2 linked regions of the Arabidopsis thaliana genome follow. The protein of the gene in region 1 interacts with the protein of each later gene in a biochemical or structural test. Each region holds a gene or a part of one and is shown on either strand. Other genes may lie near its edges.

Region 1 (7,434 bases):
AACCAGAAGACACGTCATTGCAAACGCTACTTTCATCATCATCCTAACCATGTAGCAAATTTTTTGTTTTATTTGTTTGGTCTTACTATATCTCTCTACCTAATAAACGTAATCGTAACACTATCTTATATACTTTTAACAGAAAATTCAACTTAATAAACGCATGCGAGATTTTAATGCATTCGGCCGCGTGTGAATTATTTAAAACAAAAAAAAAACGGTGAGTTGAGCGTTTCTCGGATTCAACTAGTACGTTTAAAAAAAAAAAACACTAGTACGTTTTAGTTTAGAGTATTTTAATTAGTAGGTCAAACTATAACTAAAATTTCAGAGTAAATCAGAATAGATTAGAAGTGAGAACTTCAATGTTCCTTGTAAATTCAAATTGACCGATCATTCTAGTTGTTTTTATAGTGGACACCAAAAACCATTTTTCTATCTCATAGTAAAATACTTTGCCAATATTGTTATTAAAGGCTTAAAGCTATTTTTGTATTTTTAACCTCTCCCAGTTGAAATGATATAGCAAGTAAAAAAAAAATGATAATCATTTACCTATATTTTACCTCATCGTTATTTAGTAAGAATAGTCAACAAGAAAAAAAAATCATTGGAAGAGAGGAGAAGAATGTTACAAATTTACAATACAATGTATGCAAAAAGCTTATTATTTAGATATCTGAAAAAACATTATTAGTTTTCGCAGAGACTCTCTTTCTCTCTATCTCCCAGCCTCTTTCTCCTGATACAACCAACACACAAACTCTGAAACAGAACATCATCACAAAATACATAACAAGAACCAACAAGAGCTCTAGATTTGCTCTTAACACAACCAAGAATCTCAATTGTTCTCTAAAGAGAACTAAGAAACTTAACCCAAATGATCTCTGCACTTTGCGTCGCCTCTTTCGCAAATTCCTCAGCCGCTTGCTCGTCTTTCGCCTTCCTCACCGCGCCATGATACTCTTCGTAAGCCTCAGAAGCATCAGCCAGAAGATGAGAAAGTTCTTTCACAGTCTCCTTAAACTTTCCATCAACAGATTCTTTCTCTGCTTCAAGTTTCGCCAACAGTTTCTTGATTGCGAAGATTTTAACGAACAACGCGTCTCCTTCTTGAGCAAGCTTTTTAGCGGTTGCGAAATGAGTGTCCACGGCGGTTTGCTTCTCCGTGGCAACTTCTTTGAGCATTTTTGCTCGTACCTGCGCGATGTGAACTCTCTCAGAAGCTTCAAGTCCTTCTTTGATGACGTTTCTGTATTTAGCTAACCTAGAAATGTAACTGATTGGAGCTGAACTTAGCTCTTCAAAACTCGCAGCCGTAATGAGAATCTGACCGAAATCTTTACGTGTCACAAGCTCACGAGCGGTTAAGCCGCGAAGCTCATTCAGTTTAGCCCTTAGGGTTTCTACAGTCTCTGATGTAGCAGATGATTCGCTTGTGGAAGAAGCTATAGAAGGAGAAGTGAGAACTCTGTGTCCGAGTAGAGATTCCTTTTCTTTCCTGTGATTCTCAACGAGTTGAGTCAAAGACGCGGTGAGACTAGAAGTCTCTGTTCCCTGAAAAATCATGAAAACATAGGAATTAGACTTTAGAGATTGTGATTCTGATCACTTTCTTGCTGTTCAAGAAAAGGTTTAAAACAAAAACCTGGACTGCAGATTCTTCAGAGAGGATATCTTCTATGCTATATTTTGTTGGTATAACAATCGAGGAATCTTCGTCTTGTTTAGAACAGCTACAACCACCTGACTGTCCTAGTCCAAGAACCTCTGGTATAGCAGAGCCACTCTGTTTCTTTGCAGCTGTGAGAACAAGAATTGTCTTAGAAAAATATTTTGAGACAGTGAGTGAAGCAAAAAAGTTAAAGACTTTTGGTTGTTTCTTACATTCTTCTTTGTCAGCCTTTGCATTAATACCACTGTGTGCTTCTGCAGAACAAGAAGGTTGGAATCAGAAACTGTCAATCTATACTTTCTTTACTTAGAACTTAGAAGAGATCAGTAATAGAATCTTGGAGTACCTTCAAATTCACGTTCCATCTCTTCCAAAATTATCTTTCTCTTAGCAGCTGAAACAAAAAATTATAACCAAAACAGTTACAAATTTTGTATGAGAAGGTTTTAAAGAGAAAAAATGGATCAGAGAGTTTACATTCTTCTTCAAGATTTCTGGAATCATCAACTTTGATCTGTTTAAGACCTCCAATAGCAGCTGCAAGTAGAAGATGAAAACAGGTTCAAGATTTCCTCTGAAGAATATGAGCTGATGAGACAGATACTTATATGTTGACATACCTTCGAACTCGCGTTCGATCTCTTCAAGCATACTCTTTCTCTTTGCAGCTATATAACAAGAGATAACTAACTCTGTCTCAGAATACTGTGGTGAAGAAAGTGAATCAAGAAGAGTTTTTGTTGTTTCTTACATTGTTCTTCATTATTATTGCCTTCAGAGAAATCATTAGCCTTTAGTTGTTCAAGACCTATTGTAGCAGCTACAAAATTATAAAATTACAGAAAATTAGGATCTAAAAAAGAGTGTGAGATAAATGGTATGTGAGGATAGATTACCTTCAAATTCGCGTTCGATATCTTCCAACATTTTGTTTCTCTTTGCAGCTGTAATAAAGATCAAGATACAAGAAGAATAGGCTCAGAATACTGTAAGGAAGAAAAAGAGTCGAAAACCCGCAGAAAAAGAAAGATATTTACATTGTTCATCATCAGCACTGCCTTCAGTGAAATCATTTAGTTGTTTAAGATCTTTTGTTGCAGCTGCAAATAGAAGACAATAAACACATTCTTAAAAACACTATTCTCCATGTTTAGTTTTCTATATTTGATATTAAAGATAACCTTCAAATTCACGTTCAATCTCTTCCAGCAGACTTTGCCTCTTTGCAGCTGTAACTACAATACATTCAAAGCCTGATTCAGATAACCATAGAGAAAGAATAGCAGATAATAAGAAGAAGAGTGCTTTACAGTGTTCTTTGTCTTCAGTAGAATCATCAACTTGAAGTTGCTTAAGGCTCTCTGTAGCAGCTGCAAGTGATAAATGTAGATATAAGACTCTCAGATATTACTCAGGGTTGGGATGTGAACTAATTAAGACTCTTAGTAAATGTTATGTAGGAGATACCTTCGAACTCTCGTTCGATCTCTTCTAACAAACTTTGTCCCTTTGCAGCTGTTTTTATGACAGTATATTCAATCTGATTCAGAAAACTGTATGCAGGAAAAGGAATTAGATAAAGAAGATGGGACAAACCGCAAACGTTTCATACCGTGTTCTTCTTCGTTATTGTCCGCGGTTGAATCGCTAGCCCTTAGTTGTTCAAGACCTTTTGAAGCAGCTATGAGAAACAGAACACAGAAACATATTATTAAGTAACACACAATTTTCTTTACGAATCATATGATTAAGACAGTTTGTGGTATATATACAAAGTACCTTCAAATTCCCGTTCGATCTCTTCAAGCATACTTAGTCTCTTTGCAGCTGTAACAAGATAGCAGCTTCAGTGGAAATGGATAAGAGAAAACCAAAAAGGACTATATGTGACTTTACATTGTTCTTCATCATCTCCGCTTCCTGTGGAATCAGAAACCTTAAGTGCTTCAATGCCTTCCATAGCAGCTGCAAGTAGGAGATTGAAATAGAAAATCACACAAACAAACTCTTAGATGATACTCAGATTGATTTATAATGGTTTCTGCATTCTTCTTAGAACATATTGAAACATACTGGTGTCTCAAGATACCTTCAAACTCGCGTTCAATAGCTTCAAGCATACTTTTTCTCTTTGCAGCTGTAACAAAGACACATAATCAGTCACAAAATACTCAAATAGAGACAAAGGGAACAGATAAATCTGAAATTGAAGAGGTTTATTACAGTGTTCTTCGTCATCTTTGTCCCCGGTGAAGTCATTAACCTTTAGTTGTTCAAGTTCTTTTGTAGCAGCTAAGGTATGAGATGAAACAGAAGAAAAAGCTAACTATTAGATTCAAGATTTTATCTCAAAACAGAGGAGCTATCTAAGACATGTATGTTGAGAATATACCTTCAAACTCACGTTCGATCTCTTCCAACAAACTTTGCCTCTTTGCAGCTGTAAGTGTAACAAGTGATACAAAACCTGTTTCAGTGTATCATATTATGGCAAGGACAAAATGGAGTCAAGAGAAGGAGTCTTTTACAATGTTCTTCATCATTTCCTTCGTTTACATCATCAGTCTTTAGTTGTTTCAGACTATCTGAAGCAGCTGCAACAAGTAGGAGAAGCAAAAGAAGTCAGATTAACAAACTTTTTTTTATAAGTGAACTAACTATAAGCTAGCTAGATGTATAATCTATGAGACAACCTTCAAACTCATGTTCGATTTCTTCCAACATTTTCTGTCTATGAGCAGCTGAAACAAGACACAATAACAACTACATCAGCAAAAGAAAGAACTATTGAAGAAACAAAGAATTTCATAGAAGAAAATCTTACATAATTCTTCATCATCATCCTTGGATTCAGCCTTGACACCATCAGATCCAGCTTGGTTAATACTATTGTGATGAGCTGCAATTAATCATGATACACAATTATATACAAAAACTTTACTAAACATCAATTTCTGATTAACTATATAGTAAAATAAATAAGGGCCTTTCATGTTTCACACCATAAACACAATCACTAAGATCAAGATCTTGAGATACCTTCGAATTCAAGTTTGATTTGATCCAACAGACTCGAACGTCCAACGCTTTCATCACTAACAGATCCAACCTAAACACACACAGCAAAGACAAAAATTCACCTTAATTAAGTTTACAAAAAACTACTTTGCAGGAATCTCTTTATTACTTTCATTAATTAGAATCCAAATCTAAACTTAAAGAGCAACGCAACAAAAGCTAAACCCTAACCTCAGATTCATCTGATAGAGATAGAGAAATAGTGTTCTTATCAGTCACTGTAGTGTTATTCTGGTTTTCACTCTGTATCTTTGCAGCTGAAGACACACAGAAACATAGAAGCTGTCACAAACATAACAAAAATAGAATCAAGAAAGAGATATAGAGAGAGAGATCTTACACTGATCTTCATCGTCCTTGCCTTGAAGAGCATTGACACTATCTAGAAAGAAAAAAAGAGAACCTAAAATCAATCCAAGAAAACAAATAAAAAGAAAGAAAACCTTGGATAAGTGTCGGTATTTCTGAGAATGTCCTTACCTTGATAATCACGTTCTATTAGATCCAAATTACTCAAACCACTACCATCATCCTAAAAAGATACAAGATGCGTTGAAAATTATTTTTAAGGTTGAAAGAAAAATAATTAAAAGACATGTTTTTTTCTACCTGACAAGAAACCTCATGGAAGCTTGAAAGAAGGATACACAAAGACAAAGCCAGTACAAGAAAATTCGTTTTCATGGTGTAGATTTCCATTACAAGAACGAGGATACACAAAATCTTTAAGCTTGAAGAAGCATCACATAGCTATGGATACGCTTATAAAATAAAACCGTTGTAACTAACTTAAACGTGGATTTCATTCTTTTATCTCGTGGCTCTTCTTCTAGATAACTCATTTTGTGTGTAGCAAAAGTTAAACAGCTAGATGTGAAATAATATAATTAATATTAGTAAATGTGACATTTTATAATTTTATTGAAAATAATAATATCATGGAAATAGGAAAAAAAACAAAAAAAAAACTATTGATGGAATAACTAAGATAGAAATATTTATTTTAATAAAGTCAATTTTTTTAAAAACACATCTCTTTTTTTTTTGGTTATGCCTTCCATTCCCAAATCAGATTGCTCAATAGTTAAGTGGTCAAGCTCGTACAAATTCGTTTTTGAACATCTCATTTTTTTATGTGTTACGTTGGTTTGTTTTCTTATATTTTTTGACATAGTAAAAATACTTTTATTAGTTTTCTATTATGTAAATTAAATTTTTTAAAACTATTATTACGTAAAAAAACAAACTCACAACTCTAAAAAAATTAATGACTTTATATTTCATTTTGTCAATATTGTGGAATTTCGATTTTTTGCGTTAATTCTGTCTAGTCATGAATTTGGATATCAATCCATGGACAGACTCATCCTCCATACTTAATTTTGTGGAGAATGCTAGCTAGGGTCATTATTATTAATGTCTCTTCTATATGTTGAACCAGAAATAAAACTTGAAACCTTAAGAAGATTTTAGAACCTCTTTTTTCAGTATATATAATCACATTTAAGGGATTTTACAAACTTTTCATAAAATTCGTGTGAAAGTAGGCATTTTTCAAAGGCTATAATTATAGAAATAGGGACTTTTTCACTGTTCAAAATGATAAAACCCTGAAACAACTTTAAAACTCCAAATAAAATAATTACTTCTTGGCTTTTGAAAAAGTGAATTAGTGCCTTTAAATTTGAAGAACTCATAAGTTCGCATTACATGTACCCAAATGCAATCTTTCTATAATTAACTTTATATTTAATAATTGGAATATATATTTTTAATTCTCTATACGACTCTATCCAAAGTAAAGAATATTATTGTTGTAATATCGCTTTTCAATTTCTATTAACTATTAATAAGTGAATAATTTAAACTACGCAATAATTTTTTTTTCTTCAAACAATAAATTATCCAATAGTGTCTCTAGGTTTGATGGTCCCTTGATGGAATAGTTAAATGCATGGCTCCCGTGTGACGTCGTAGTCCAGAGCGGACAAATATAAGTTCAGTACTAGTAGAAAGATATATGTTGTCTCAACGTGCAACATGTGATATATATCGATTACTAATATTTTTTTTTTTTTTGAGATTAGTATTATGTTATAAATATATAAAAGTTTATATATCACTAGACAGTAGTATATGAATCAGAGAACACGTAAATATATCGTCTCAATTATAACCCTTTTTCAAACAAAATATATATATTATCAACTATTTTGCTTTTATCCGTGAAATGATTGTACATAATTTTGGAGCATGCATGTCTTCTCATTTCTGAATAATTCAACCTACATATCAATGGGTTAAAACACGTTCGGGAAGTTCTTCTACCTGTTATTAAAACCATTATAGGATGTGTTATTTTATTTTTATGATATGCTTTTTATAAACATTAATTCATTTTATCAAATAAATTTCCATATCCGCCATATACATATAGACATAGCATGCATGTCTTCTTGGTTCTGAATAATTCTACCTATACATGTCAAGTAGATTAATATGGACTTCTAATCAGCGTTCTCCTGTATTACAAACAAACAAAAATAACAATTCGGTACGTAACTACTTTTCTTACATTATATAATAATGCACACTACGAATGGAACAGTCCTAATAATTGTAAAACCACAGTGGGAACAAGAAAAGTGGCCCAGGATGATTCAGATCAGAGAAATAAG
Region 2 (7,874 bases), on another chromosome or scaffold:
ACATATCATTACCGTTCCTATTCCACTGCTGCCAACCAAAAGTTTTGACAGAGATGGAGTCTTAACAAGTGCATAAAGGCTATCAACAACTTGGCTGCTCAGCTTTATGCCATTCATGCTCAGTTCTGCAAAGCTGCAGTGTTTTGACATATGATCATGTTAGATGGATTTACGTATAAAAAAAAAACAGCTTTAAAATGTGTTTCTTTCAACCTGCTTAGAGTAGCCAATTTAGCCAAGAGGTTTTGAATACTACTCCCTGAAACAGGATTATTATAACCTGCCATATACGGATCCACCAACTTCAGCAAACTGAAACGAGATAAAAAAAATAAATTGAATGTACATAACAAATTAGAAAGATCACCTATACAGAGTTGTGAAAGTCCTGACTTCGAATCCAAAGCATTAGCTACCTTTTGGATTGTTCTTGATGTAAGTGAACAATGTTCCACATTCAAGCTGTAAAGTGCTAAGAAACAAAAGGGGACACATTAATGTAAGCTAGTGAATGGAAGAAAATGTTTAAGATTATTAAACCTAATATCAGGTATTTCATATATCTATCTACTGGGTTTATAAGACACCAGTGAAACCAAGAAACAAAACATACCATCAGGGCATTTAGATACTGTAAATGAATTATCATAATTTAAAAAAAAAAAAAAAAAAATCTATACCCCGGCAATTTTTCACTATAGTTGAGAGGTATGATCCACAAGCATCTGTAAGTCGATTCCTGGACACATTGAGGACTTCAAGTCGAGTGAACAGAACAGGGCATTCACAGATCTGGTAAAGAGGAGTATATTAAATAATACGAAAATAACATGAATATGTGAAATTTTCTAGCTTTGGGCCTAGTAGTGTACCTGAAACAAAGCAGTTGGACCAAATCGATTGCAGTGCAAATCCAAAGTTAAAGCACCATACATCTGGCTTGATGAGGCAAAAAGTTGTTTCAATTTCTCCATTGTTCCATTCCCTAACAACCAATGAGACGATGGAAATTAACACTTCTGAATTTCCTAGTAGTTCCCTATGCATAACCAACTAACTCACTTAGGTCAGCTCATTAAATTAAGTAAGACGTCAGAGGCAACTTTCACCTAGCATATTGTGGGAGAGATCCAACATAGCAATATTGTGGACATGGAGGGCACACAATAATGGAGCAGCTGATATGTCTTGCAGTTCACATTCTGACACATTGATATCATCTTCTACCTGATAAACATACAACGAAATAACCATTCAGATTATACATCAAATAAAGTAAGAATTTGTAACTAGCTAGCTTTAAGTAGGTTGAAAAGCAAACAAAGAGAAGAAAATATTTCATACATTAACCGCTAAAATTTGGGGTAATACTCTCACCTCCGAAATATATAATTTCTTAAGCAATTTCATACTGGGTTTCTCTGACAACGACTGGCAACAGTCCATGTATAGTTTCATCAGGCGCTTGTGAACCCAGCCTGAAAACAAATTAATTTCATGCTGATTCAGCCGTGGTGTATAAATAAGAGGGAAGAATCAATGACCATAATCTTAAAAGCCAATACAGCGGTTCAGCACAATCATGTAAAAAGTGAGAGAACAATTTGTGATGAAAACAAATTTATAGAATGATCAGCTTGACAATCATACATCCAAATATCATGAGTAGATTCCAATTCTATCAAGGAAATACTTACCATCAACGGAAGCTTCAATAACAACATTTTCAGAAGAGTCCCTGAGAATCGCATATAGTTCCAATGGTTTCAGAACTCTTCCACCATATTCCAAATGATGAATGATCGGCAACAGACCTAACGCAAATTGAATGTTCAAAGATTCAAACTTTTAGAGCAAAACTTAAAACGTGCTAGGAAACAAGGGGAATGATATCAAAAAGCAAAAGAAATGTTATTAAGCGTGAGATGAGAATTATAGGACTGATCCGAACTGGGATCATGCATTATAGAGACTGATCCGAACTGGGATCATCCTAAAGTTTTGCTAAGAAAACAAAAGCACATACCTTTAGATTTCTCATCGTCAGGAAGCTGTAAATAGTATAGGCAAGTAAGTTCCACCTTCACAGACTCATCATCGTGAGAACAGGAGTCTAAAGCTATGTGTTCATTTTCAATTTCAATTTTTATTTTTCGCTGCAACAAGTAAAACATATAGTTATCATGAAGAAGATTGGACGAAGTAGAAAAATAAATGAAATCCAATCCCAAGAATGGTCAATGATAACTCAAAAACCAGATCACAGTTGCTCACATCCTCAGTTTTTGAGTAAGCGTGGAAGTTCACGAGAGCAGCTCCAGTTTTGCAGGACGTGCCGTTGGAGTCGCCAACATCACATTGAGATCCTTTTTTACGACGACCAGTTGTTTCAACAGCTATATTATTACTCAAAGATCTACAATTGCTGACATTTGGAGCCACCTTAATAGGATGGAGAGGCGTATACGAGCAAGAACCTTCTTCTACATTATCTTGGATGGCACGATTATCCGTATAATTAATAGCACCATCAAAATACATACTTTCCTCAGAAACCTCTTCATTCTGCCTTAGAACTTTGTGAGAACTGTCTTTAGGGCATCCCAGCTCATATTCGGTCTCACTTTCATCATCAGAGAGGATTACTCGAATACGCTTTCGACCAGCAACTGTCTGCTGAGAGTCTGCTACTACAGAGAAATCTTTCTTCGTCTGATCAGTGTCAGCATCTTGTTTTCCTGAAACTTGTTTCCTTTTGAACAGACGTTTTCCAGGCTGGAGAAATGAAATTAGTGGCACATCATCATTTGCTTCATCCAGATCTGCTAACCGTTCTGATCTAAGTGAATTTGGTGTTTGCGGTGAGCTACATGCATTTGGCCTATCATTCGATACATTCGCATGCCCTTCTGAGTCAGTTTCAGAGCATTCATCTTGTGTACTACATTCGGCTTTCTCAGCATGTTCTGACTCCTTCAGATTTTGTATTGTTTCCTTCAATTCACTAGACAGTAGAAATAATATATGAGTAAAATGAAATACTTGAAACTGCAAACCTTACACCAGATTTGGTGTCTATCCATATTCCGTCCAGTGACAAAACAGTAATTGTTACCTGGCTTTTTGAGCATTCCCAAATCTCATCATATGGATATAGTGTATATCTTCCAGTGCAGAAAGCTGGATTGAAGGAAGATTAGCTTTCAAAGCAATTCTGCAGGATCAAATGAAAATAAATCCAGAAAGACCAATAGTTAATTTATTAGCATGCAGTATGTGTGTATAAATTCACGTAAATGTATATGCGATGTGTTTGAATATAGCAGAAGAAAGTCACAGAAAAAATATTTTAAGTGATTGAAAATGCAAAATGTGCTATAATTATCCACTATCATGAGAAGTACTGATTCAAAGTACATTGTATTATTTATTCAGAAGCCATAGTGCAGTAATTCGTGAACTTAGTCGAAAGGGACAACCAACAAGCAGTTAAGTACTTTATAGCACATTCACATTTGCTCTGCTTCAAGTGTTCTTTCCATTTTAAGAAAAAAATGAGTTTCATCGCCGTCATATTGTTCAATGGAATTATCAGTTCTCTCAAGGAAAATTAATAAGTAGATTTACTAGGACTGAATCACAAACATAACCAAATAATAGCTCAAATGCGCAGTTTGATAAAGATTACTTATAATTGGATCTACCTGTACCCCTCTTCATATGCCTGAAGTGCTCCTGTCCATTCCCCAATACAGTCCAAACCATTACCAATATTAATCTTCGCTAGTGCTTGACCCTACAAGAGACCACCATAAGTGAATATTAGAATCAGGAAAGAAGAATAGCTATAATATTGACAAATCCAAGAAAAGGTATAATCAGTTTTCCACAGAAAATGTTCAGTAGAGGCCTAATGAATTATTTCTGGTTTTGTGAATCAAATTCTGATGACAGTAGTGAACATAGGTTTTTATAATTAATCGTGCAAGCAAACAAATCTCACCTCCAGATTACCAATTGCTTCATGTCCCTCATAACTTCTTATGAACCACTTCAGGGACTTTCTGAAATTTCTGAGATTTTGGTAAGATTCTCCAACAATCATGAAGGCATCACTCAGCTTTTCCTTGTCACAGAGTTCATCTGATATTTTCTTCTTCCTTTTTGAATATTGAAGATGCTAAGACATTCAAAGAAGAAATAGCAACCCTTTAGTTGCATGCAAACTTCAAATGGCAGCCTCCTACTTAACTTTCAAAACTATATCACAAGTCATTGAAACAGTGATGCAGAGACTTGGATCACTCAGTATCCGTATGATACAGAATAATCATCGTTTTGCCACATAATAACTTTACTTTGCAAGTTCAGAACAAAGATATTATCCCAGCATTCAAAAGATAGGTTTTCTTGAGAGAACAAGAATCATGTAATTCTTTGATAATATAGTCTTCCTGACTGATCTGAAAAGACAGTGTCAATAGCAGAAGTTCACAAAACTTAAATCAAATCTAAGAAAATAGCATATTTTTCCTACTCCATACTACCTGATGAAATCTCACAATGCTTATTCATCATTAAAAACCCCTACGATGGACAACTTTAACTTCTGGAAACTTTTCAAATAAATGCGAACATGGGGTGGAGTGATAGGACTAAAAAGGAAGGAGTGTTTAAGTTATAAAACTCACCTTCAGCCATGCGAATACCATGCTAGATTTATCAATAAGACTTCCAAGACAAGCATTTACTTGGAGCATAGACTTTCGTTCCTCCGAAGTGCCTTTGGCATCAGTCATTTCTGCAGACAACTTCTTAAGCATAAGCTCTTCTTCTCTCAATTCTTCCATAACTTTCATGGATTTCTTGACTATCTTGGTATTATGCTCTATCTGTTCAACCAATGCACTCTCGTCTTGCATAGATTTCGCTAGACTAGAAGCTTTACCATAACATAAAAGAGCATCAATGTACTTTTGGGTCTTGTTGTGTAATTCAGCGAGATTGATATACCCCTTCGCTTCTCCTTGGACATGATTAATCTTATGACAGATATTAATATCCATCTCAATGTGTTTCTTTGCTTCATCCCAACTTCTCAGCGCCATAAAAACGTTTCCAAGGTTATGATGAAGCCTACTCCGAGCAGCATCATACTCTCTCACCTCCTCTTCATCGCAAATCTGCAGCCCTTTCTTAAGAATAGTACGGGCTGCTTCAGGATTATCAAGATCAAGGTCAAGCATACCGATGTTGTTATGTGCGTTAATATACTCCTCAAGGAATCCGCTAGATTCTCCAGGAGGTGGTTTCTCCTTGAGAATCTGTGCAAGTTCCATGGCTTTCTTAAAGTACTTTTTAGCACTCTGAATGGCTTCACAATCATCCTCAGACTTCAAGAACATTTCATGGTAAGTACGTCCAAGTTGAGTACATGCTCTTTGCTTCTCCACAGTGTCATTAGCTTCTTCAGCTAGCTGTAAATGCTTCTTCTGCAACCACCAGAAAAAAACACAAATTCAAAATGAAAAACTCAAACACCAAAATTATTCACGGAAAATTCAGGAAGCCAACAATAACCAAGTAGGAAAAAGCAATTGATTCAAGAGGGCTTACCTGATAAATCAAGGCTTCTTCGAAATTTTCGAGGCGGAGATAGATCTCGCCAAGAGACTGACAAGTAGGTAACAAATCTTTCCCAGGTAAATACTTGACGGAGATATCGTAATCAATCCTAAACCACTTGAGAGCATCAACGTACTCTCCATGATTCTTAAGGATATCGCCGACATTGTTAGCCCACCTCGCCTGTTCTCTCCGGTCACCCACTTCTTCTGCTTTCCGGTACGCTCTCTTCGCCGCAGCTACATCTAATCGACCCATCGGATGATGATTTCTCCGTTCTTCAATTGAAAGGTTTTTGTTTTCTTCCTTCCGATTTTCAGATTTCTCGAAATTTCTTTCTCAGTGATTTTGATTTTCTCATTTTCTCCAGTCGCCAAATTTTTGGTCCCATCCCAAACTATCCCGCCAAAATTCAAGGGTAAATTAGAAATTTTCATACCCTAAATCCTGAAGTTATAGGCCTTTTAGTTTGGGCCTTGGGTCGAGTTTATTTTGGGCTTCTTATATCCTCCTGTCTCCTGACAAGAAAACAAAAAAACCCTAAGGGTTCTAAGGCACTCGCTATATAAACTATCATTTTGCGCCGCCCGAACCCGAAGAAGAACTCTCTCTTGTAAACCTGCGATCTGAATCTTCCCGGCGGTGAAAAATGGTTGCGGAGAAGAAGGCGAAGAAGTCCCATGAAGGAATCAACAGCAGATTAGCTCTTGTGATGAAGAGTGGAAAGTACACTCTTGGATACAAGTCTGTTCTCAAATCCCTTCGCAGCTCCAAAGGTAAAAATTTAAAATCCCTCTTCATCGATTGATTATAGTGTTCGTCTTCCTCGTAATTTAGTTGAATAATTGTTGGATATTGTTGGGGGGTTTAGGTAAGCTGATATTGATATCTAGCAATTGCCCACCGTTGAGAAGGTCAGAGATTGAATACTATGCGATGCTTGCTAAAGTTGGAGTTCATCGCTACAATGGCAACAATGTTGATTTGGGTACTGCTTGTGGTAAATACTTCCGAGTTTCTTGCCTCAGCATCGTTGATCCTGGTGATTCCGACATCATCAAGACACTTCCTGGAGATCAGTGATTCTGATTTTGATGATTTTGCCATGTTGTTCTCTATGCTTGATTATGCTTTGTGTTCTTCAAAGACTTAATGTTAGATTTCTTTGGTTTCCCGACTTCCTCTTAATGGTTATAATTAATTACTACATTTTCGTCTCTGTTGATTGATTCCTTACACGAAAAGGCTTGATTACTTTTATTACAATAGTTGGCTATTAACTAATTACATGTTCAATTTATACAAAATCATATATAATGGACAATCTCTTAGAACATTTTAACAGGAACCATTTTTTATGTTCTAACTTGTAACAACCAACCAAATTAAATCTCAATTAATCAAATAGAAACCCTTCATCTTTCTACACTTCTCCTCCAACCAACAAATTAAACAAAAGAGATTAAAAACACAAAAGCTCTTCATCAGTATCAACGTTTTCTTTGAGCTTTTTTGGCTATTACTTTAACTTCATCAGAGACAACTTTTTCTTCGTCTCCATAATGGCCTCTTCTCTTTTCGTTGCTATCTCTTTCATATCTTCCTGATACTTAGCTTCTATCTCCTCCAGCTCTTGTCTTAACCTTTCTTCTTCCTCCAAACTTACTGGTTCGGTTGCTTCTTCTACTTCTTGAATGGAGCTCTTGTCTTCTCCTTTGGTGGCATCGACGCATTGCTTATCTTCCTCATCTGATCGTGGGCAATCTGAGTTACACGAGTGACTAACCAACTCACAAGTATCATGAAAAACAGTCTCCTCTTGTTTCTGTGGCTTTGCTTCGTTATGATGACTTCTTGAGTTCTGATTCAGTTGCGAATGGATGAGATGATCGACTGTGACATCGGTTTTCCAGGTGGGTATCATGTTGACAAGTAGTATATCAATCAGCTCGGCTATAAACGTGACGTTCTGGTCAGTTAACTCGAGTTGCTCAACCATCTCACTCGACACCTTAGAAGCAGTGTCCCCTTCTTGATAGAACAGGAAATGAATGTTCCTCACACGCCCTGTGCAACAAGACACAGTTATATTAAGTTTCAGAATGCAAAAATATCGAAGAAAGTAATGAATCTTAGCTGGAGCAGAATAAAGAACTGACCATTCTCATCTACTATACGAAGAATTAAGGACACAGACTGCTCATCGTTTTCTTCACCCTTGAGGACAAAGAAATTCCCTCTCTTTGCGC

What was found.
Region 2: the proteins of TSA1 (region 1) and TSK form a complex in vitro, tested with the Arabidopsis thaliana proteins (one study listed by BioGRID).

The regions. Positions count from the first base shown.
Region 1 is NC_003070.9:19,518,783-19,526,216, reverse strand, and holds TSA1 (TSK-associating protein 1), read right to left. Parts: upstream 5,615-7,434; 5' UTR 5,456-5,614; coding exon 5,366-5,455; intron 5,289-5,365; coding exon 5,237-5,288; intron 5,139-5,236; coding exon 5,097-5,138; intron 5,014-5,096; coding exon 4,928-5,013; intron 4,788-4,927; coding exon 4,718-4,787; intron 4,578-4,717; coding exon 4,503-4,577; intron 4,420-4,502; coding exon 4,372-4,419; intron 4,273-4,371; coding exon 4,207-4,272; intron 4,119-4,206; coding exon 4,071-4,118; intron 3,971-4,070; coding exon 3,902-3,970; intron 3,816-3,901; coding exon 3,768-3,815; intron 3,644-3,767; coding exon 3,575-3,643; intron 3,506-3,574; coding exon 3,458-3,505; intron 3,360-3,457; coding exon 3,291-3,359; intron 3,194-3,290; coding exon 3,146-3,193; intron 3,049-3,145; coding exon 2,989-3,048; intron 2,914-2,988; coding exon 2,860-2,913; intron 2,779-2,859; coding exon 2,716-2,778; intron 2,623-2,715; coding exon 2,575-2,622; intron 2,499-2,574; and 15 more. Other genes in the region: AT1G52415 (Bifunctional inhibitor/lipid-transfer protein/seed storage 2S albumin superfamily protein), read right to left, coding at 1-51. UniProt on the Arabidopsis thaliana protein: Involved in seedling development in the dark. May be involved, when interacting with TSK, in the organization of spindle microtubules and may participate, when interacting with GIP1, in structural links between the nuclear envelope and the cytoskeleton.
Region 2 is NC_003074.8:6,447,163-6,455,036, forward strand, and holds the start of TSK (tetratricopeptide repeat (TPR)-containing protein), read right to left. Parts: upstream 6,040-7,874; 5' UTR 5,884-6,039; coding exon 5,617-5,883; intron 5,493-5,616; coding exon 4,692-5,492; intron 4,181-4,691; coding exon 4,004-4,180; intron 3,797-4,003; coding exon 3,705-3,796; intron 3,215-3,704; coding exon 3,116-3,214; intron 3,005-3,115; coding exon 2,275-3,004; intron 2,157-2,274; coding exon 2,027-2,156; intron 1,815-2,026; coding exon 1,698-1,814; intron 1,479-1,697; coding exon 1,378-1,478; intron 1,228-1,377; coding exon 1,110-1,227; intron 986-1,109; coding exon 873-985; intron 793-872; coding exon 681-792; intron 473-680; coding exon 368-472; intron 281-367; coding exon 214-280; intron 134-213; coding exon 13-133; intron 1-12. Other genes in the region: RLK902 (Ribosomal protein L7Ae/L30e/S12e/Gadd45 family protein), read left to right, coding at 6,275-6,401, 6,497-6,708; WNK6 (with no lysine (K) kinase 6), read right to left, coding at 7,145-7,692, 7,785-7,874.